Drosophila melanogaster: one gene and its partners. The protein of the gene in region 4 interacts with the protein of the main gene of each other region in a pairwise test. Each region holds a gene or a part of one and is shown on either strand. Other genes may lie near its edges. The genes, in order: CG15167, Rbp1-like, ftz-f1 and ps.

Region 1 (4,226 bases), on a different chromosome or scaffold from region 4:
TCCAGACTCAGATTCAGATTGAGATTCAGGGAGGGGCGCCACAGCGCGCTTGGCTGTCTCAGCGATTCTTGGGGCTATGCATCATCATCATCATCATCGGCCGGGGCCGGCGTCGAAGTTGGAGCTGCAACATGGCAACATGTTGCAATCTGCCAGCTCTGCATGCATAAAATATTATGCAACATTATGCCACAGACACAGGCCAGACGACACTCTTGGTTTTATTTACACTTTTTTCGGGCTGTGGCCACCCCTCGCCCGAAATGTTGCTGCTTATTAGTGCCGGGATGTTGACAGCGTTTAGATCTAATTGAATCGCCCGGATCGCCGATTTCTGTGCCGTCCGTAGAACATTTGGCTTGGCCCGCTCCCATTTGGCCCATAACCCATAAATCTAACACACCGGCACGAGAGATTTATAGAGTTCAGATTGCGAAATGCGCAGAAGCACAGCACAGCGCGCAGCGCCGAGCTCGGAAAATCTTGAAAAATTAAAATGACTAGTGCCGGGGCACGATCAAGACCGTGCTGCCGTCTTGATAGCAGACAATGGCAACTCCGGAGGAGATGGAAAGCCCAAAAGCGAAACCTCAGCGGTAGTCAGCATTGGGGCGTCTGCAGTTCAACGTTCAAGTGGCACAGTACGCCCTAGAAAAATGAATTGATTCGATTGTTTTTCGCCGCAACTCGGGCTCCTCTACTTTATCTGCCAGCGCCGAGCGGAAAAATCTGAAAATGGTTAGACAAAAAAAAAACGAAAAATCAGGGGCAGAGGCAAAGGCAGAGGCAGGGAGCGCGCCCCGAAAAATACTGATGATACAATCGCGTTTTTGACTTTGAAAAGTCAGCTTCGAGTCAGCCGGGCTATTGTTCAATGGCCCAACTGCAGCAGCGGCAACATCAGCAACAGCAGCAGCAGCAGCAGCAGCAGCGGCCGACACTGATTGTTATGGTTTATGAGATGAAAATGCACTCGAAACAATATTCTGGGGCCAATGCAATTTGCGATTTTTAATCAACTCCTCTCGTCAGCACTCAGCAACAGAAGAAAACATCGTATTTGGGGGCCCCTGATTGCAGCTTCCACTTCGAGAATCGTGGCTCCTTCATCTGGCTTTTGATCTTCTCCCCGTCCCCGAGATGATTCCCCTGGCTCCTAGCCTGCATCCACTCGACCATCATCTGCAGGCCAGCAGAGCTGCCCTCCAGTTCGCCGCCCACTTTGCGGCCACAGTGCGTATGCGCGATGTAGCCACACACCTTAAGTTCTGCGGCTTTGTGGGCCACAACTGAAAGCAGGGCCTCATCGGAATCTTCGGGCACACTCATTTCATACGCTAATAGGTAGATCTCTGGCTGCGGTTGGAGTACCAGTTCCAGCGACATTTTTGGGAATGGAAATTTGAGTATGTGAGTTTTCACGGCTTTTGAAAATAAATGATCCAGATTTCCTAAGTTACTCTGCTGATGATATATAATCGAAAAATTTGCGTGGAGTAAACATCACTGATCCATCCAAAGGTAAGCATTTAAAACAAATTCTGAATCTTTAAAAATGCTATACTTTTATATTTATATAGATTTTCGTAAAAAGTATTTTTATAAACTATCAGGAAACGTATTTTAAAACAAAATGTCAATTAATAATTATGCTTTGCGTAAGTCATCAGTTTAATCAATTTAGTTTAAAAACAAACCTACACGCCAGTAAATTTAGCTTAACACTCAGTACAATCCAAAATTATAGCCCTAAGTTATTTGCATATCTTTCAGCAAAACTAAACAAGAAATGACATTATTAGGGTCCTACGATTGGATGTTCAATGAGGATATTCAACTTAGGACCGAGTTTAAGTTGTACAACATAATGTCAAGGAACCAATTTCCGCGTCGAATTCTTCAATATTGCCACAAAAACCATATAACCGGATACATAGTATTCACCCACGGGGGCAAACAAGCATTTGGAGTGATGGATGGCAAGCGGAAAGATTTAAACCGGATAAAGCCCTACCTTCTGAGGTTTTGCATTCCAGAACCCTTTAACCAACGAGTCACTTTTTCAGCCTACGAGTTATGCTTCAATCCGAACAAAGAGAAATTTAATATTAAGGATAGAGTTCCTAAGGGCGCCAAGTTTCTGGGAGATATATACGAGGACTGCTTTCTGAGGTTCAAGAATCAAAAACCGGAACCGGAAGAGGAAACCGAGGCAACTAAAGCCTTGTTCGCAAAATATTCCGACTTCTTTAACTTAAAATATTTCGTCAATTGTTAATGGACAATATATAGCTAAGACTATGCCAGCACAATTCCCGATTCTCTTTAGTCGCAGTGATTTCTCGCAGTGTGGATGCGACTCGTGCTGGCCATTGTTCAACACTATTTGCGGCACTCAATCTCTTAATTAAATATGCGACTAACTGGCAGCTCGGAGGCACTCGAAGAGTGGCCCAGACATCGCCGTTTAGTGTCGAAATTGTGCAAGTTTTGATTTTCCTTTTGTTGTTATGGAAGTCGCTGTTTGTATTTTTTTTTTGTTTTTGTTTTTGTTTTGGCTTGGTTTGGTTTTCTTGTTCGCTGGATAATCACAGGCCCGGCGAATAGACGGCAGAAATTAAATCAGCCAAGGTTATCGCATTAATAAGCCCCCTGGTTTGGGTTTTACAGTTTTCTGAGCCAGTCAATTATTAAATTTGCAATTTCCGTAGCTGAACTTTTGGGGTCAGTAGACTGATTTAAATCAAAACCGTAATTGAGCATTGCCCGCGAGCTAGAACCAATCGCACCAAAAACCAAATACCAAATACCAACCTCCGGGCAGGAAAATTGACAAATGTTTGATAGCTAGCTACCTTTTCGGATTGCTTGTTTCACGTGCATTTATTTTCCTCCAAAAGCGGATGTGGGGACGCTGCGAATCCGATTCAGAAAATGTACAGAAAAAAAATCGAAAATCAAAAACTCCCAGCTAAGTGGCTTTCCATGACATTTTACTGACACTCTTGCCGTTGAACTGGAAGACCTGTTTTCATTTTCCCTCTTAGCGCAACTTAACACATTTGACGAAGATGTCTATGCCAGCAAATGACGTGTCATCAATGGAGCCCGCACTCCCACATAAAGATGCACAGCGTCCTCAACTCGATCTCGGATCTCACATCTCGCATCTCGTACCCCGGCCACAAATCCCCAGCACTTGAAGCTTGAAGAGATCTGTTGGTGCTGTTGTATTAATAAGCCTGACATTTGAGCAGAGCATCCACTCGAAGCCATCGGGTTTCGGTTTTGCGTGTAGGCGTCTGAAAATAATAATTAAAAAATCGTTTCTAATGCGGAAATCTCGCGTTTTTGAGCTGGGGGTGAGCTTAATGCCGAAGATGTTAGACAAATATATCAGATTTCTATTTCTTTTTTTGTCGCGCTCCTCGCTTTGGTTAATCTTCCAGTGGACGGTTGTGGGGGATCGGCAAATCGGTGACATGGGTAAAGATGGATCGTTGGGAAAGCAATTGAACAGTGGATCGTCAGAGGTGAGTTGTGGAATCGTATGGGACCACAAGATGTAAAAAGGTGTAAAAAAGAAAAAAAAAATCAGCTTCCAAAATGTTTTTGATTTGTAGGCACGTCAGAAAGTTGTAAAAACATCCAAGCGGCAATGTATTAGAAACATGAAAATTAATTGGCTATAATAAAAAATAATATCTTTAGGTTTTATAAATTACATGATAATTATAAACCCATAATGTATTTATTGGCTAACCAAAGAAGGAGTTTATTCATAATATATCTTTATAATCGAGCACCTAACGGCAGTTAATCGTTAACAATTAAACAAGTCACAACTACGAGAGATGGACAGATCGACAGCAGATATTAAGGCCAATAGGTTGGCCATTGGGCTGGGCTGTGGCCGAAAGCATTAGGCCAAGTGTCCCGGCCCGCCCAAGAATTCAAAGACCTGGCCCGCCCAAATAATTAAATATGTAAGAGGCAAGAGCCCAAGTTAATAACAGCTGCTACCACAGAAGCCTTTTGCCGGCCAAACGTTAAAAATTTAATAATCGCCTGCGAGTATAAGGCGGCCAGATGCATTCGTAGGCCCAGAGATACAGATACAGATGCAGGCCCATGCCCATGCCCAGGTCGAGATACAATATACAATATACTATAATATGTACTGGTGCAATATACACGAAGGCAGCAGGCTCTGCGAGAAGGTCAGA
Region 2 (6,916 bases), on a different chromosome or scaffold from region 4:
TCCGTGTGTTCCACGCCGAGTTCATGAAGAAGTACAAGTAGATCAGCTGCCAACTTCCCCGTCCTCGATCCCTGTGTTAAGTGTCAATCCTCCGGCTTAGGATTAAAAATTTAAATTACCCTAATTGTTTTTTTTTTTTCCTCTTTGTTACTGTGTCATAGCTGAATGCTTCTAAGCTCTTCTTTATATGCATATATAGATATATATGAGAAATATATAAAAACATTTTTAAAACCCTATGATTTGTGAACCCAACCCGCGCAGGTTTTATCGCCACGATAACGTTTCCAGTTAGCAATTAACCCACTTAACCATGTAGTCTTTGATTCTTAATTGAACGAAAACTCCTGGCGGAGATTTGACAATAATTTTTGTTAGAACCAAAAGTAGTTTACCATCTTTTGGTCGGCGCATAATTGAAAATTCTGATATTGTTCTAAACGAAAGTTATTTGCATTGTGTATATTTATATTTATCTACACATAAATATATATAGCCCTGCATGTGCTTATCCCCCGCGAATCGATCACGAAAATCATATGATGTGTGTGCGTTCAAGTCATTACTAATTGTTATAGACAAGAAGAAACTTTGAAAATAAATAAATAATTATTATTGTTAAGCCAGCGCTGCGTTAATTTCAATTTGGGCAATGGGTATCCTTTTGTAATTTGTTTTTAAGAAAAGCTGAAAATCCCGACATTCCCATTAAAAACACCCATTGTGTATATTTTCGGTTTTAAATTAGGTTCAATTTATTGATTCTCATTTCACGACTTATGTAACTACTTGCACTTACGCCAAACAATCGCATATAGTACCTTTTTTTCACTTTTCTCTTGACATGTTTTGTGTTGCGACAGATTTAGGGTAAAAACCAAGTGGATAAATAATTTAGGTTCGCGGACATACAATAAATTTACCTTTGACATCCATTGTTCATCGGATGCCTCACTCTTTGTGTGTTGTAGTTGTAGTTGCGCTGGTGGCTTGTTCTTTTTATCTTTTCATTTTCTGAATTAAAATCTACCAAAGTCTTAAGGCCTAAAAACCAATGTGTACCATAGTTGTACTGTGGCTATACTAGCGAACCATTCGGATCGAAGAGATGGCTGGGTTGTGTGGTGGTCTTTTGTGAAGTTGCTCGATACCTTTTTTTTTTTTGTTTTTTGGTTTTGTTCTCTGTGGGGGGGGGGGGGTTATTATATGGAGGGGGACGAATTTATTGAGTCAAACTTCAGAAATCTGTTGAGCCATTTTTCGTCTGGCAAAACAGATCCTTTTTGTCCTCAACTCTGGGGCCGTACTACTTTATGTATATATCTCTGTATATGTATAATATATATATATATCTATATATATGTGTGTGTTGTGGAGTCCAGTTTTGGGCTGCATCCCACTACTACTCTTCTCATCTAATGGCGGTCCCTGGAGTCGGAGCGACTGCGACGATCCCTCGAAAAGCTGCGGCTGCGTGTCCTTGAGCGGCGGGGTGAGCGTGATCTGCAATGAAATGGGTAGCGTTTGGGGAAAAACATATTGGGCCCGGCACACACATACAGGACACAGAAAGAGAGAGGTGAGAAAGAAAGAGAAAGAGAAAGAGAAAATACAAATTAAATAGATTTTGCACCAATGAGTAACTTAACTAGTCGTGTAGTTAGATAACAATTCCTTAAGATACGTAAAGTTGATAAGAGTGGTCTCGATCAAACAACACACAACTTGGGCTGACGGATCTGGTGGATCGGATACGGATCGGAGAGCTGACATTGGAGCTTTAATTTGAGCTGAGCGGAGCTGAGAGCTGGCAGTAATTTTTTTCAGTTTTTTTTTTGGTGGCTGAAGGTGCTTGAAGGTGGTGGAGATATAGCTGATATATATATATATATATATATTTTTTTTTTGCCCCATTAACGAAAGCGTTGGTGTGACATTTACATAAAGTAATTGGTGGTGGTTGGTTGGATTGGTGGCTGATTGGTTTGTTGGTAGGTTGCTTAGTTGGTTGATGAGCAGAGCAGACTGAGAAGGCTGTTGTTGTTGTTGTTGTTGAATTGTAGTAGTAGTAATAGTAGTAGTAGTAGTAGTAGGTTCTTGTTGAACTGTTGTAGTTTGGGCTGTTGTTGTTGATACGATACTGAGCTGATTGACTGTGACTAGGGTGGCTGTGTTGTGTTTCTATTATTATTATTATTTCTTTTTTTTTGGTGTGTGTTGTTGGTGGATATATTGGTGAATCATTCTATTCTGTTGCAGCAGCCGAAGAACGTAGGTCGTATGAAGAAGCAGTTGGTGGGGAAGCATCAGTTAGCAGCAAGAGAGGATCAGGTTGGTGGTTGTGGTTTGGTGGTGGTGGCGGTGCAGCTCCTACCATCCGCGCTGTGAAGTTGCGAGCTTGAAGAAGATTCTGCCCTGCCCTGAACTGCTGATGCTGCTGGTGCTTTGGTCGATTGTTGGTGGGGTCGTTTTGTTGGTGAACTGTCTGACTGTGAGTTCGAGCTGATCGGATCAATGCATATAAACACACATTTACACAATATACTTGTATATTACACACAGAGAGCAGACAATTAGCGCGAACAAGATTATCTCAGTAGATGTTAGGATGCAAGAACAAAAGGTAAAAAAAAAAACAACCATAATTACAATTACGAGTATAACAAACGGATTTTGTTAGAGGCGTTACGTTACGTTTCGTTTCGGTTCGAGGGACAGTGTTGTTGGTGGCGGCCAAAGGTTTCATACTTGCTGCGATTGAAGGAATTAGCATGAAGCAGCCTCAATCTTGGTTTGATTGCAAGGGAAAGGTGCAACTACTGAGTGGTGGAACCAACAAAAAGTCTACCAAAGGCTTTTCAGCCTCGAGATCGATTTGCTGACTGGCTGCCAGATGTTCTTGTTGTAGTAGTAGTAGTAGTAGTAGTAGTAGTAGAAGTAGAAGCTGTTGTTGCAGTTGGTCTTTGTAGCTGTAGCTTGTTGCTGATGCTGTAGCTGCACTAAAGATGACGGATGATGAGGTGGTGGGTGGTTTGTTGGGGACGTAGGAGCAGGCTGAAGACAACCGCACAACTTGGAGACGTAGGAAGTTGACTTTTTGAAGCGTTGCTGGACTGGTGAGTGTGTGTATAATATATATATAAATATGCAATAGATGCATTTTGGCATTTGGATTCTTGATGAAGTTGCTCTGTTGCCGCCGACGATCGGTTCGCTCTGGTTCTTGGTGATTAGTGTGGTTAATGGCTGTTTGTGTGAGTGTGTCTGTTGTGTAGCCTGAAGATGTTGCCAACTAACAGACTATAAATGATGTGGAAATGTGGAATGCACTGTGGGGCATACGACCATCTTCGTTTGCTAAATCCTATTTATATTCCAAAGCAATATTCTGTTATTTGACAAAGAAAAAAGACCAACGTTTAGCAGCTAAATCCTATTCAAAATAGGCATAGATCGAAGATTACTTAAATCGTTTTCTTTTCTTTAGTTTGTAGCTAGTCGTGTGCCCCATAGTGGAATGTATAGTTAGGTGACTGTGGGTGGTGTTCGGTCTGGTTTTGGGTGCATTATTCTTGAAGCTGCGGAGCCGAAGACGTTGCTGATGATTCATTTTTTTCTGTTCTGTTTTTCTTTTTTTTTTTTTTTGCCTGGGTTGAGCTGAACAGGTGGTGGAGGGGGTGTGGTAGTGTTGCGGTCGTTCGGTTTGGTTCTGGTTCTTGGTTTTGTGGTCAGCGGAATATATCGAATTTGTTGAATTTCTGGTTAGGGCCGCACAACAAATTGTTATTGCATGGTGGTGGTGTAGTGGTGGCTGTAGTTGTTGTTGTTGTTGGTGAAATGTGTGTAATAGGAGGAGCAGGATCTGCTGTTGTACTAGTTGTTCTTGTAGTAGCTGTTGTTGTTGTTCTTTTGGTTGTTGTTGTTGAAGGAAGAGGAGTAGTAGAAGTTCTAGTAGTAGTAGCTGTTGTTGTTTTTTCTTTTTTCTTTGTTGTTCTTTTAATTATCATTATTATTATTATTATTGATGTTGTTGTTGTAGTAGTTCTTGTTGTGCTTGTTGTAGTAGAAGAAGAAGACTTTATCCTGCAAAATGATTGTGAGACCACATTAAAACTGGCTCCAAGCGATCGATTTACTTTGTTTTTACTAAGTTTTCTTGTATTTTCTTTTCATTTTTCTTGTATTTTGTAATTTTACTAAAAACAACAAACAAAACGTTTTCTCTAGTTAAAGCTATACTCTTTGAACTTTAAACTATGGACCTCGGGGTGCATATAATGAGCAATGAAATGTGATACTAAAACAAGATTCCCCTTAAAAAACAAAATACGAGCTAAAAAGAATCGATTGACGTAGCAAAAGCAACCAGGACTGTCGGCCACGGACGCCACTGTGTGCGCGCGGTAGGACTGTTCTTTTTCACGGACGCCACTGTGTGTGTTTATGTATGGCTAACAGTGGTGTCCCACCGTATGTGTGACTGTGTGTATTTTGGCTGGCACCGCTTTTGTATGTATACGCGAATCGATTTTTCACATGCATACATACACACAAGCACACACGCTATATAAATATGTATACATATGTTTATTTATATATATATTTTTGCATACTTTTTTGCACATAATGGCAAAAATTATGATTTCATAATCTCGAGAGAGGGGTAGTGGTAGTAAGTGGGTGCTTTGGTTGGTTGGTTAGTTAGTTTATCTGGTTTATTCTGGGGATGCAAAATGTAATGCTTTTGTGCCGTACTCACCTATAGCGTCCACCGCCATCGCCAGCCCTTCCACCGCCTCCAGCACGGGCGCCACTGCCACCGCCGCGGCCGCCGCCACCGGATCCGCCTCCACCACCGCCGCCTCCACCGCCACCGCCGCGACCCTCTCGTGAACGGCCTGATGACATTTCGACACGGATGCGGGTGCCACAGCAGCGGGTGCCGTCGAGGCCACGGGTCGCATCCTCAGCGTCGCGACGATCCTCGAACTCGACGAAGGCGAAACCGGGCGGATTGCGGGCCACCCAGACGTTGCGCAAGGGTCCGTATTTGCTAAAGGCGTTCTCGATCTCGTATTTGGAGGCCGAGGATCCCAGATTGCCCACGTAAACTTTGCAGGCTAAATCCCATTCACGGTAGCGTGGCATTATGTATGAATATGTATGTGGCTGGAGGTGCTGCTCCTCCGGTTCTGTAATGGATTTTTGGTATTTGTTGTACCACTGGACTTGTCCAAAGTCAATTTTCCAGTTTGTTTTGATGCTATTCCGAGGGAATTCTCCTTGGTTTTTCAAAGAGCACACCCACAAAGCAGGAGCAGAAAAAAGTGTTTGTGAGGAAAAAAAGATGGCGTGCCCTCCAGTGTTGAAAAGTGAACGAGGTGCAGTACCGTAAAGCGCTGACCATAAGATATGCGACTATCGATATTTTATAGGAATATCGATCTTTGAAATATCATTTTATTCTATTTAATAGTTTAAATTAAATGTTTCACAACCTAAGGGTACTTAGTTAAAGTATTATTATAAATATACCTTAATTTATGTATGGATACATTTGCTTAATTTCATATACCCGATGTTAAGAGTAAAACTAGATGTGGTTAATTTTTGAGTCGGCCGAACCAGATACTTCACATAACATACTTCAAAAGATAACATATCGATAAGTCGAGAACACGGAATGGCTTTTTAACATCTGGCAACCCTGCACACCCAGCTGTCCCTATTATATAGGCACATTATTATTGGCCCTTTTTCGTTTCGGCAATTTTGAATAAAATATCGCAGAACAAAATGGCTAAGACACCGGAAAACATAGCCATCGATCAGTTGGACAAGGATCAAATTAAGACGGTAAGCAGAGTTGACACGAAGATACCATCTCATGCCAAGGACCGGCGGTGCCAAGTGATGCAATGTGGTTTTCATTTGATATGTTTTCGGTTCTAACTTTCAGTTTTCCGACTTCCTAATGTCCTACAACAAACTGTCCGAGACGTGCTTCACAGATTGCATACGCGACTTTACAACGCGGGATGTTAAGGATTCCGAGGTGAGTGCCCGTGGGGAAGCTCCATGTGGAAATCAGCGATTTCAATATGCCCATCCATTTCACAGGAGAAGTGCTCGCTGAACTGCATGGAAAAGTATCTGAAGATGAACCAACGCGTCTCGCAGCGTTTCCAGGAGTTCCAGGTTATTGCCCACGAGAACGCACTGGCCATGGCTCAAAAGACTGGCAAACTTTAGGTGTTATAGCTGTTACAAACAATCTTAACTAGTTTAGACAACTGAGATGATGCATTTTCCTGCATTTGTCAAAATAGCTGAGTAAAGAAACGCGTTGACGGAATCCCGACGATTATTATCTACTATTCGATTATTGTGGTACTTTATTGCTGATTGATTACGGCCTAGAGATCTTGTTTGAAAAAGACAAGTGTGGATCATCAGTTTCGAATATGTTCCAGCTGAGTAGCAGCCCATCTTTTTCGTTTTAGCACTTCAGCCTCATGACATTTAAATGGTAGAATTGGGCGCCGCAGCTGCTTACGTGCTAGATGTGCCTACAATTACGTTTAAGTCACGTTAAGACAGGGCCGTAGTCGCATGTGCTCCGTGGCGGATGTGCAACCGATATATCGGTCTTCGGTATCCCGAACACCGGAGCCGACTACGGCGATCTCTAATCTAGGTCTAATGCATAGAGGCCATCGCCTGTGGCCATCTACTCAATACTTAGGGCTACACAAGGTTCGCCAATGCGTGGTTCCCGTTTTCCGGCTGTATATTCAATCGGCTCAATGACTCGTGGTGGCGGCCTCCGACGGAAAGCCCTCTGCCTCTGTGATCAGGGCGTACTCCAGGATAACGCGACCCTCCTTGTATCTAAGAGATAAATTGGAGCATTAGT
Region 3 (6,253 bases), on a different chromosome or scaffold from region 4:
GTGATGCTGCTGCTGCTGCTGCTGCTGCGGAGTGGTGCTGGCACTGCTAGTGTGGTTGCTGTTGGGAGACGCTGCTCTCGGGGCACAGGAACTGGCGGCCAGCTCCTCAATACTGTGCAATGAGCTCCTCGTCGGATTGGCAGTGTTGCTCATGGATGTTGTCGTTGTGGGCGTTGCAGTGCCTATTGTGCGTGCAATCGATCCTGATCCCGATCCCGATCCCGATCCTGAACCCGATGCCGATCCAGAGCCCGGCCCTGTGGTCGTAGTGGTGCTAATGTGGCCATCATCCTTGCCCACCTGCACCTCAAAGTCCAACAATTGGGCCGTTGTGGAGGACAGGAAGTTGCTGGTGGAAACGGAAGTCGACGAATTGACTTCAAGTGGTTTCAATTGATGATATTCGACGGGCGGCACAATTATGCTACTGTTGTTGCCATTTGGATTTTGGGGATTCTTTTGCAACAGGGCGGGATCAATGCACTCGTTGGCGCTGCGATGGGTGGGAAATAGAATATTGGCAAACGATGGCATCGTCACAGATTCGATGATCACCGAATTGCCGTTCGATGGCCTCACTGTCTTAGCCTCCACGTTGTTGTTATTGTTATTGTTAGTGTTGTTATTATTGTTGTTGTTGGTAGTGGTAGTTGTTGCAGCTGTGGCAGTGCCCATTAGTGTCATGTTGCTATTGCTGTGGGGATTTGGACTGGCCACAAAGAAACGATCGCACAAGCCGCTCAAGGAGATGCCTCCATCCAGTTGACTGGCATCGATCGTTTGCAATGAACTGAAGTTATCGGCATTTGCCGATGTTGTTGCCGCCTCAACTGCTGCTGCTGCTGCTGCAGGTCCTATTGTTGCAGTTGCATCCTTCTGTTGCAACTGCAAGTGTGAATAGAATGGCAGCATGGGCGAACTGCCCGCCGCCAGCATTTGATCCTTGTGATGATGGGGCATTAGGAGTTGCTGCTGCTGCTGCTGCTGATGTGAATGTTGCTGCTGATGCTGATGTTGCAGGTGGTGATGATTGCTGGTAGCTTCTGTTGCATAGTTGGTGTTGCTGCTCTCCGCCAGCATAGGTACATTGAAGGTATCCATTTTATGAATAATATAATTTAACTTTTATTTTTTGTACGTTTCGTTGTGATGTGTGGTATTTGTTTTGTTGATTCTTAATGGCAGGTAACGATAGTAGTTGTAAGTTTATAATTGCTTTAAAGACCTGAAAATGGTAATAAAGCAGATTATTAGTAATCAAAAAAAAATTCTAAGCGTTTTTAAAGCCGTCTAAACCAAAAATCAATCCGTTCTAGTAATAAATATTAATTTTCAGGAAGTAGGACAAGGATTTCAAAGGCCTAGGTTAATGCAAGGTCAGGTTGAAGGTCAGGTCGCAGAGAATGTGGGCCAAGGAAAGGCCTAATGGTATTTGAAGCAGGCCAAGGTCAACTCTTTGTGGGGAGAGAAAGCTTTCAAAGCTTTTTCTGTACCACTTCAATGTCCACCCAATTTATTATGTTATATTTCAGTTTTTTTATAATTCTACTATTTAATTATTGTTTAGGGTTTTTAACTAAATCGTCGAAAGTCCACAATATATACCTCCGTAGAGCTTAGGAGTGCCTAAACTATTTTTATCAGTATCAATGCAATTTCACCAATAAACCGATGTTTAAAAATTAAATTTCAAAATAGACGTCGAGAATCTTTAATTTAAAAATTGAAAAATAAAGTTTTTTTAAAAATGCAATTGTTTTACAAGATTACAAAAATTAATAAAAAAAAAAAAAGTTAATGCATTAAAAGCATCTTTAACCAAATTATTTTTTCCGAGTAGATAAAATCCATTTAAAAATTAACACGCTAAATTGTTTATTCCCCCATTTACAGTAATTTTCCAGTTCGCGAAACAGACAACTGGAAAGATTCCCCCATTTTTTTAAGCCCTGTGTTACCCTTTTTAACGATACTTTAATTAACTTCACTCGACTTCAAGTTCTTCACTTTTCGTGCTTGAATCTCACCAACCCTCGGGTAATCCACGGAAAAAAATTGAGCAAATGACATTAACTTTATATTTAATATTTTAAAAGAAAAATATCTTAGTGGAAAATACGAGAAAATGTATAAAAAAAAACTATAAAAAGCTATAAACTGCTGATACAATTTTCAGTTTATTATCCAAATTTTTAAAACCACATTAATTTTTGTAAAAAATATATATATAATGATCCCAGTAAAATTTATTTAAACAAACAAAAAGGTGATTTTATTTAAAAAGTTTTCTTATAATGATGGTTTTTAAATCAAATTCGTGTCAAAACTGTATTTCATTCCGTGCTCCTACTTCCCATTAAAGATGGTAAGTGCAGTAAAATAAAGCTCACCCAACTAGACAAAATGGAAAAGGAGGTTTTTGGGGGGTAAAAGGTGAGCGAGAGGAAGTCGTGCAGCGGGGAGAATTGAGAATTTACCTTTCATGCAGCTGACGTCGTTGTTTTTCCTTTTGTAGTTCTGTGTGTTGCGCATGCGCCCGGTTCCATGAATTCCAAGACGAAGATCGCGGAAGAAGAAGAAGCGCTGGAAGCTGTCCGTCTCTCTCTTTCTCCGTCTCTTCCCCTCTCGCTTTTTATGTATACAAAAACCAGTTGGAAGCGAAAGCAAAAGTTCTATTATTATGTCTTGGTCTTCTTGCTGTTTCTGTTTTTGTAGCCGTAGCTGGTCTCCCTCTCTCTCGCTGTCTCTGTCTCGCTCTCAGTGTGGGAATTCGCATGTGTGGAGAACGGAACGCGAATTTATAATTCGCAAAACAAAGCTTGTGTGTGATTCATTTCGCCGATCGTAGTCGCTGTTGCCGTTGTTGTTGTTGTTGCTATTTCTCCCGATCGCATCTCTCGGCGTCTCGTTCTCTTTTGCTCTCGCTCTCCGAAAGCTCTTTCAGCATATTTCAGAACACGCACACACACGCGACGCCAAACGCATTTGGCAATTTATTTATATTTTTTTTTATTTATTTCTTTTATTTATTTTGCATTTATTGCCATTTACTCTTCCTCTATTCTCGGCGATTTCCTCTTCCCGATTTCGAACGCACACCAAGAACTTCTTGCACAATCGTCGCACGCGCGCAACAAGCGAAAGCTCTCAGAAACAACAACTATAAATTGCAATTCCTGCTACGCACACACTGACACGCTCGCACCGCACATACATATATACACACATGTACTGGGGTTCCACTGGGCACTCTGTGTTGTTGTTTTTCCGCTTGGCTTTTGCTAATTTTGCCTTGTTTTTGCTTCTGCTCCAATTCTATGACACAACGCTATCTTCCCACTTTGTGTTAATTTTTATACACAATTGCACACCAAAATTGGGGTTTGGTAAACGGATAGGCAATGACGGGGGCGCGGGCGACGATTGGAAACCAGAACACACTCCCGTTATGGACGCATCGGAAATATTAAATATATACGTATGTACACACACATAATTAACGCCAGAGCTGTTCTTCTTTTCGCTTTTGTTTACTTTCACTCTTACTTTCTTGGCTATCGCTCACTTTCAGCTATTGTTTATTCGCTGGCTTCACTTTTTCGGGAAAAACTATTCCGCACGCAAAAATTAGGTCTCGAGCGAAATTAGGTCGAACTCGAACGGGAACACAACACACAGTAAAAGTTTGTTGGCGTAGGTAGAAGAAGACCGAAAGCCCTCGCGCATACACGCACACACACATGCGCGGTCGGGATAGTGTTGGATCACCGGAGCGAAGAGCGGGGCCAAGGACAGAGAGGCAGCATTCTTGGCCTTTAAAAATCGTTTGAAGAACAAGGACGGCAATCATATGAAAACCGGAAAGCTTTCAGCTGAAAGCACTCACATGCACGCACACCCGCGTTTAGCGCACCGCTCGTGCGGCGAGCTTTTGAGAGCGACATCTGCCGGAACCTATCGCCAAGTTATCGATAGATCGTAAATTCAAAACTGTGGCGGTTTGTCAATGAAATATTACATAAATTTTAATAAGCAATAAAAAATACAATGAGATTATCTAGTTCAAATAATTGCAAATTTAAAAGGAAAAGAAGAAGACGAATTTAAATATTCACAAGATATAATTATACTTTTTCAAAAGAATGGGCCCTCTAAGTATATTTAAGTACTTATCTAAGACCTTACCTGTTCAGTCATCTATTATTATATATAAATAACCTTTTAAACCAATTTTGAAGAATCGTTTAATAAAAGCTTGGATCGATATTTGTTTTCAAATGCCAGGAGATTGTTAAAATTTTGAAGTGAAACCGCACTTTTAAATTGTCAAAATTTCACTTTGCATTTATTTTGTTTTTCATTATTAGTTTTTTTTTTTTTGTTAAATTTCTTCAGTTTTTTGTGGTTTCCTTTTATAGTTGCACAAAACTTACACACGTACATTACATAGAAAATTACAAACCTATCTGAAAATTGATTTACATTGTAGTTGGATCATATTGTGTATACATATACTTTATATATTATGTTAATAATTTCATTTAAAAATACATAATACATAAATACGCCTTTGTTGCTTCTTTAATATTATTACAATAATTATTATTTAGTTTATACTTTAGCTAGATTGTTTTGTTTTTTTAAAAACCATAGATTACACTTCATCCCTAGATTTATCTGTAAGTATATATCAATTTATTAGCTGATTGGCTGGCATACATTTTCCGTTCGTTTCCTCGTTTCTAACTGCCTTGCATTGTTTTCTTCTACTTTTATTGCATAATTGCAGCCAATCCCTAAAGATTCCAGATTTTCTCAATATTCTCGCTCTAAAATTTCCATTCATTTCCTTTTTCTTCGTTTTGAGTGTGTATAGCACCTTTGTATCACTTTGCATTAGCTCTAAATTTAATTTCCTTTATAAAATCCTTTATCTTCCAAAGACAAAGACGTGTGAGTAAAAACTAGTTACTAGCTAAAATATACATATGTATAGTATATAAATCTACTATTATATTCGTACTAATAGTTTTTCCATATTTGTTTGCACTTTACACTCTATGTTCAGTTAGTACTATGCTCATCCATTCATCATTATCTAATTTATATCTTTCTGGATCTTGCCCCGTCCAATCGCTAAAGATATCTCGGTTAAAATTTCATTAAAATGGTCTTAACGCCCAACAAGTTCCGTACACTGTCGTTGTATTTGATGAGCACAACCTTCGACGAACTGAACATGTTCAGCTTTTCACCGGCGCACAACAGCTGCAGGCAGGTGGCTTTCTCCAGGAAATCATCTATCTTGAACTCCCGTAGCAGGTGCTTCTGACTGCTGGCCAAGGCATTGCTGTTGTTCGGACAGAGCTAAAAAAAAAATAACAAGATTTTGTTATAAGTTCATTTAAATATCGCATCTAAATGGCACATACCTTGTTAAGCAACGTATCCTTCGATTTAACTTTAAGTAAATTGCACAAATCATTGAGTAGTACCCATTTATCACTGCCCTCGTCTTTGAGCAAGTACAGTGGTGGCAAGGGCACATCGGCCTCTTCAAATTCAAAAATATCACCATTCAATTCACTATCCATTGTCTCGATGTCCGTCTGATCCTCGTCTAGCCTAGTGCTACTATTCGTATTTGCTTTCGCATTCGTTTCCGTTTCCGCTTCTGTTTCAGCTTCAGCTTCCACTTCCTTCTTCACTTCATTCTTGACATTCACAACGCTTGTTACTAAATTATTTTCCACATTAGCATTCAGCTCCTCGTTGTTCTTATTGTTATTGCTATCCTCGTCGGTTCCCAGTTCCAATTTAACCATCGTTGTTGCCGTCGTCGTAGTCGCCGATCCAGTCTTTGTTGCACTCGTCTCCCCGTTCTGCTTGATCGTTGTTGTCACCCGATCCTGGTCCAAATCCTCGGGCTTCTGCTCCTCCTTTTTTTCCGCTAACAGACCATTCAAGTTGCTGGTCCTGTCACTGTTGCTGCTCATCCTCTGCTGCTTGGCCTCCTTCCTTTCTTTACGTAGAGCTCTGCTCATATCACAAGCTGTATTCGGTACATTACTGAATATATCATAACCATACTCCTTAGCATCTGGAAGAGATTAATGCATGGTTTAGTTCAAATTCATTCATATTTTAGTTTTATCCTTAATTGTATGCAATGGCAAAGAACTATTTGCTTCCACTCACCAAATATCTCCCAAGGCCCATTGAATCGCATTGGCTTGATGTCAGCGGCGGCACT
Region 4 (6,676 bases):
TAATATTAATGGCGAGAAGAGGGATCAAAGCGAGTTAGTCTGCCCCGTTGTTAGTTTTAATCTTTAAGATTACACAATTACAATTATTCAAGATAGGAACAACTAACAGAGCTTGTGAAATACGAGAAAAGTGTTGTGAGTTCAAGTTGTGCTACCACTGGGACTGACCCACGCTGCGTATGCGTAATATAAGGACTTCAGATGACCCAATTATTGAGGCAAGCCGGGCTTGTCCTAATCACTGGCCCGAAAAGAATGTCAAACTGCCTGGCCCCTTGAGTTATTAGTAGGCCACTCGAGATGCTCTACAAGTGCAGTCACACCAAATGCCTGGCCACTCGAGCCGCAACAATGGAATGCACCTAAGAATAAGGTAACCCAAAAACACGACACAGAGATATCAGTTCAGATTGTGGCCAAAACAGTGAGAGTGCGAGAGAGCACACAGCCCCTAGGCAGTAAACGCACTTGAGATTCAACCATGCCACACTGCCATACTGCCATTCTGCCATACCACATTCTCAGCTGCTGCATCTAGCCAGCCAGGCAGTCAGTCAGCCTGCCATCGAGGCAACCAACCCAGTTCTACAGGACCCACCACTCAAGGACGTTGCTGCTGCGTTTGCGGCTGCTGCGGCTGCATCGGCTGCTGTGGCAGCTGCAATGGCGCCAAATGCTGCAGTGCAGCTGAATGGTCGCCGCGTTCGAGGAGTTCGAGTCGTCCTACTGCGCAGGACCCTTCCTAGACGAAAAGCACCGAGCAAAGGCAGGCAGGCAAGCAGCGATGGCAGCGGAGCGACCACAGGCACACACAGATACAGATACAGATACACGTACGCACCCGCATTGTCATCAAAGTAGGTCAACCGCTTGCCATGCTGTCAACGTTTGCCGAGAGCAGCTCTCGCTTCTCTCTCTTACGGCGAACTAGAGTTCGCTACAGTATACACCCCCAACTATTCGCACGCTTTTCCAGCTGCCCTGCCAGTACTGATTACATAAGCCACGCCACCAGTCGTCCAAAACCTCCACGCTGACCCACCGCCCCGATTTTCCTCGATTTTACTGCATTTCCTTTGCAGCAGCCCCGCCAACTGACGCATTTCTAGTCCAGGCTACACGGAAAACAATAAGTCAAAAAAAAATTAAGTATATGGTAAAGAGTTGAATTCTTGCTTAAAAGAATTGTTGACAAAAAGTTGTTTGAATTTCCTAACTTCTTTGGATTAAACTTTAAAACCTTACACCTTAAATACTTATTAGAATTTAAGAAGATTATTTTTCTCTGTGCATCTCAAAAACTTTGCGCTGCTCTCTCACCAACCAGCTACACAGAATTCCAGCCATGACAGTCATAAATAAGAAAAAACTGAAAAAATTAAATAGATAGCACACAAAAAACAAATGACTGTCAAGGCAGCTAAGCAAATAAATTGCCAGAAAACTAATAAAACGACGACGTGAGTAAATACCCAAAACCATATGACATGGACCTGTTCTCTGTCCAGCAAACAGGCAGCCTCAATGGTGGCTAATTAATTACAAATGCCCAGCTGTACACATACATGTAACGAATCTATTTATCTGGGCTCATCTATAATGCCATCGGTTTGAATGGAAACTGGCCAAACAAACAGCTGATAAAATGGCATTGTTCATAAGCAAACAAATTCTTAGGCAGAACTAACCCATTAACTATGGATGTCCCCGAGCATATAATATAGTGTCTGCTTTAATGAATGGAGTGGAGTATATGGAAATAAGTTATATTTGCCTATTTAACGAACTTGAACTTACTCGAACAAAGCTTCCGCATTCCAATTCACGAGATAAAACTTAAAATTTTTGATGCAACATTAAGACAACACTGGAATTTTGTTTTATTTTCTGTAGATATTTTTTTTTTTGGGATTTTAACACTTGACGTATTTGAGAGAGCCTGCTGTGATGAACGAAAACCGAGGACTAATCTACCCTTCATAATTTCCAATTGACAATTAGGAAACTCGAAAACACGTTTACACGCTTCTGGCTCTAGCCACTGCTATCCGTCTAAATACCAAAAGCCAGCGGGGGCGACAGTGCGACTCTAACACTTACACCTTTTGCTATTTTCGTGGCTATGACGACAGGTACTTCGATTGCGTAGTGGCATGCTCACCTTGGAGCTTGCCAGCTGGTTTTGAGCCGAACAAATCATGCAAAGCAACTAGTTAATAGCTTGTGGTCAGACCGACTGACCGACAGACTGACTGACAGACAGGCAGTATGGGTTTGGCAATGGAGCTCACGGATTGGGAGCTTCTTCTTTTAAATGCTAATCTCCATATGAATTTTTGTGACCCCCTCGGCTGTCCCGACTGCAGTTCAGTTTGTCGGATGAGTGAAGCAGGGAGGAGCTTTTCAAATGCCATTCGTTTGGACGTTCAGGGACGTGCACGGACAGCACTTGTATCTAATTGCAGGCCATTGATGAAGCTGCAGGAGATTGCAGGCGGAGGTCATGCCCAAAATTGGGTCAAACTGGGCCCACAATGTCTCGGCGCCAAATCCTGCGCAAAGATACAGCCGCCAGCCAGGCAGATACTACACTAGGTACTAGATACCGCTGTATGCCATATAACAGATGCCAGTTGTCATTTTAAGATGTACACTGTAGCTGTGTACGTGTAGAGGGGGCCCTCGGGGCGTATACGCCATATCTGGCTTAATTACGAATCAAAGTCTGCTGCCTGTTCGTTCGTTCGTTGGTTCGTTTGTTCGGTTGCAAAACTGACATCGAACGTATTGGGGGCAAACTGCAAATGAATTTCTCGTGCTGATTAATTGAATCTGAATAACAAACGACAACAGCAACAATAAATAACACGAGCGACAAACGACTAAAAGAAAAAAGTAAGAAAATCATAGATACTAAGTATATATATACATAGATATATGTAGGTACGCATATCGGGGGGATATATTGTGATAACAACAACAACAACAACAACATGACCACATAATAAAGAAGGGAAACGGCACGATCGGCAGAAAAGTTGGGCAAACAAATTGAATCAGTTATTTATACGCTTCGGAGATAAAAAAGCAATGGATAGATAAATAGATAACGAACGAGAGATAGATATACACAGAGCGTCGAGTTGAGGAGCTTAAGATTGATATTGAAACTGAGATTGAGATCGAGATTGAGATTGACAGAGAGAAAAAGAGAGAGCACGATAATGGGGATATGCAAGAGCGATTTGAGATATATATTTCAATTTCTTCCTTCTGCTGGCGAAATGAATTGAGTTTCGATTTCGATATTGATTTCGATTTGAATTTGAATTTGATTTTGAATTTTGATTTGGATTTGGATTGGATTTTGGTCAACTTACCGGAACTGAAATGTGAGCGTTTAGTTTGTTCATTTTCCGGATCGGAATCGAGTGGCCTTTTGCGTGAGTCGCCGGTTTCAGGACTTGGACATGTCTCCATGGTAGCGTCTTCGGCCATTTTTAACTGAATGTTGCTGGTTTTGGTTATCGACTTTGACTGATGATTGCTTTAGCTTTTTGCTTTGGGTTTCGTTGATCTGTTGATCTTACTGTTTACTTTTCAGTTTCTATGTCTCGTGGATTCGGCTTGATTTAATTTAATTGGATCTTGGATTGGATTGGATTGGCTTGGACTTGATTTGATTGAATTGAATTTGGTTGCTGTGCTTCTGGTTTTTTTTTTTTTTTTTTTTGTTAAACGACAACGAAACGTTCGATGTTTGGTAATGAGGCGTCTGTTTAGCTTTGTATTATTTGGTTTTTGGCTTGCTTGGTATTGTTTCTGGTATTTCTGTTTGGTTTTTTTGGTGCGTGCGAGCGAAAGAGCGATAGAGCGAGCGAGCGAGCGAACGAACGATCAAACGAGCGCAGGATGCGTCAGTCACTGTCCTTTAGTCCTAGTCCTCGTCCTCGTCCAATGGATGCGATGTAATTCGATTCGATGCCTTTATCGGGGGGAATCCGCCACTGGCATCTGTGAGATTGATGGGCTATGTGGATGAGGTCCTTGGTCCTTGGGTACGCTACTGATGCTGCCACTCATGCACACACATGGAGGTACAGCTATCGATCGCTATCAGTGACAGAGACAGTTCGTGTACGTCGCTATATATGCATATGCACATATATTGATACTCTATTTACGATCCTTCTATGTTTCAGTTTTAATTTCATTTAGTTTTTTATTTTTAGTTTTTGTTTGGTGGTTTTGTGGTGGAATGTGCGAGTTTTTTTTTTTAACGTTTATATGAAAAAAGAAAAAGAAAAAAATATTTATGAGTGAATTATGCAGCAATAATAAATATACATACAGTAAACATTTAGGCAATATATAGGTATGTTCTTCGCATTAAACTTGTAGATATAGATACAGTTGTCAGAGTGGCAATGCATTTTTCGAGTAGTAAAACACACACACATTTAGATAGGCACAAACATTTAAATTGGATCGATTTGATTTGATTTGTCTTGATCTTTCGTCTTCAAAAAAGCTATTTACAAAACGAGCAAGGCATCTTGCGAGATTGGTGGAAAAAAGGGGCGTGGCGGGATTCGGGTTGGACTGGGCGGATCTTTCAAAAGCGTGGATCGTGTTAGGCATTCACATATCAAAACGATACCGGGGCAGGCAGATGTGGGATAGAGACAGATCGGTTTGAAGCAATCTTGTGAGCGTTGAGAACGTGTAATAATGGAAAGCAGACGACAGGATGAATTACAGGAGTCCGCAGAAATAGTTTTGAAAGCAGGCCCCCTATAAGAAAGGATCCCGTGTGTGTGTATGAGGTTAGAAGGTCTGCGAAAACTCGGTACCTACACCTTATATTTAGGATCTTACAGCTACCTATTTTATTTGTTACTATAATACTGATTATACTGATTACTTAATCCGTTGAGTTCGACATAATGCTGGCCAATTTAAAATGTTGAGAAATCCTGCCGTACCGCGATGCTAATAATAACTCACTCTACTGCGCTTATGAATCGTTAATTTAAATTTGTTCCACCTAAGACCTATCTAAACGAGTCCGTACCCACGAAGCAGTTTTAGTTACTTATGAATACCTGAGCCAGTTTTGTTTTTTTTTTTTCATAATGGCATGGCAATGAAGCCCCAACTTGCAACTCAATTATGCATGAGATGTTTTATTTTATTATGATTTCATTGCTAATTAAAAATGCGACGACACAAAAACCGAAGCGCGACCAACAGAAACAGCAACAACAAAATCTGCATCAACGACTGACGACGCGCGTTTATTTGTTTAAAATGGCGTTTAATTATACAAACATTTTTATATGTTATTTCTGTTGGTAGTGCTGGGGCTCAAGTGTGCGTTGTGGCTATTCGATTTGACTGCAAACGACCTTGACCATTGAAAAAGTTTTTTTTTACTCATTTTGCTGTTGTTCGTGCCCGCTTAGCACCGACCACAAAACAAAATGAGCAATAAATCGAAGAGATGGCAAAAGCCACCGTCGTTCAATGCTAAGCATGCGCCCAGATATATAGATACACGGCAGAATGCGTACTGATAGATACGCGTTTGCAACTGTATGGCATGCGCTGCACAGGAACAAGAACAAAAATTGAAGTGTAGAAGCATTAAGTTATATCATTTAATGCGAAAGTATTACTTTATTTCTATGCATCATTAAGGCGCACTACTTCTCTAGCTAACAATTTTCCAATATCAAACAATCTATTATATAATCACTTAAGTATCTACTATTTGTCGAAGTGTAATCACAGCACCTGTCGTCAGCGCAGTACAAAACAGAGAACAAAACAGGTAGGTCGCACAAATTTGCATTTACTTAAGAAATTAGTGCGACTACAAATACAAAAATCAAGAAACTAAGATCGATTTAGCAGGAGATGCGATGGCCTGCGCTATAAAACGGGTTTTCGTTTATTGTGAGAGAACCAGTTGCTTTTGCGCCTCGACTTGGCATTTGAGTTTTTCAATTAATTCACCTAATGCTTTTCGATCGGCTATTTATTGTGTTTCGCTGACGTTCGTAGAAGAATTCTCATTCGAGGCGAGCGTCTCGAATTCTGAATAAAAGTCGCAAATTCAAATTTCAGCTGCAGGTCGCTCAGTCCCAAACCTCCGAGAAGTGTGCCGCCACCGAAAGTCCCCAGAGATGCACCATGCCACATGCCACATGGCAGGCAAGCACGCAAAGTGCTCGACATTTTTCACTTTTTGTGTGTCCTTGAAAAATGCAGCGGGCCAAATGGGATTTGGGAAACTTGCAGCCAAATACTTTTCTATCGTTCATTCTTTTCGCTGTGACGATGATTAGAACGAAAGCCGTGAGCGCCAAACAACAAGAAAGCGGCATTGATGCACTCAAGCCGAAAATGTGTTAATGGTGATGAATTGGAAACAGCTGCAGCATGAAATTCACTCTCCAATCAGCCCAAGGATATTCCGCCGACGGCACAATATTCATTTCAAGTCGTTCGAATGGCGAAAGTGGGCGTACGAAATGGGGGAGGTCCGCCTTGGAACAGGTTGCATATACATACTTGTGTGCATGAAATGTGTTATCTAACTTCTAGGCACAAGTTGAATACATGTATGTATGTGGCATATAGTGTGTGGTATACAACATATTGGAACAGCTTT

Evidence for each region.
Region 1: the proteins of ps (region 4) and CG15167 interact in a two-hybrid assay, tested with the Drosophila melanogaster proteins (one large-scale study listed by BioGRID).
Region 2: the proteins of ps (region 4) and Rbp1-like interact in a two-hybrid assay, tested with the Drosophila melanogaster proteins (one large-scale study listed by BioGRID).
Region 3: the proteins of ps (region 4) and ftz-f1 interact in a two-hybrid assay, tested with the Drosophila melanogaster proteins (one large-scale study listed by BioGRID).

Annotation. Positions count from the first base shown.
Region 1 is NT_033779.5:18,737,570-18,741,795, reverse strand, and holds CG15167 (uncharacterized protein), read right to left. Parts: upstream 1,439-4,226; 5' UTR 1,387-1,438; coding exon 1,036-1,386; 3' UTR 989-1,035; downstream 1-988. Other genes in the region: CG42752 (uncharacterized protein), read left to right, coding at 1,790-2,278.
Region 2 is NC_004354.4:13,379,541-13,386,456, forward strand, and holds Rbp1-like (Rbp1-like), read right to left. Parts: upstream 5,338-6,916; 5' UTR 5,149-5,337; coding exon 4,760-5,148; intron 4,084-4,759; coding exon 3,729-4,083; 3' UTR 2,210-3,728; downstream 1-2,209. Other genes in the region: CG1640 (uncharacterized protein), read left to right, coding at 1-41; Tim9a, read left to right, coding at 5,797-5,856, 5,960-6,055, 6,121-6,252; Ype (yippee), read right to left, coding at 6,804-6,891.
Region 3 is NT_037436.4:18,797,631-18,803,883, forward strand, and holds the start of ftz-f1 (ftz transcription factor 1), read right to left. Parts: upstream 3,680-6,253; 5' UTR 2,478-3,679; intron 1,226-2,477; 5' UTR 1,102-1,225; coding exon 1-1,101. Other genes in the region: CG14073 (uncharacterized protein), read right to left, coding at 5,152-5,367, 5,433-6,100, 6,199-6,253. UniProt on the Drosophila melanogaster protein: Acts as a cofactor to fushi tarazu (ftz). Facilitates the binding of ftz to DNA. Binds the sequence element 5'-YCYYGGYCR-3' in the zebra element of ftz. Probably functions as a nuclear receptor for a yet unknown ligand.
Region 4 is NT_033777.3:9,429,544-9,436,219, reverse strand, and holds the start of ps (pasilla), read right to left. Parts: upstream 3,619-6,676; 5' UTR 3,499-3,618; coding exon of another isoform or gene 3,381-3,498; intron 1,955-3,380; exon of another isoform or gene 1,817-1,954; coding exon of another isoform or gene 1,798-1,816; intron 1-1,797. UniProt on the Drosophila melanogaster protein: Functions to regulate alternative splicing in neurons by binding pre-mRNA in a sequence-specific manner to activate exon inclusion.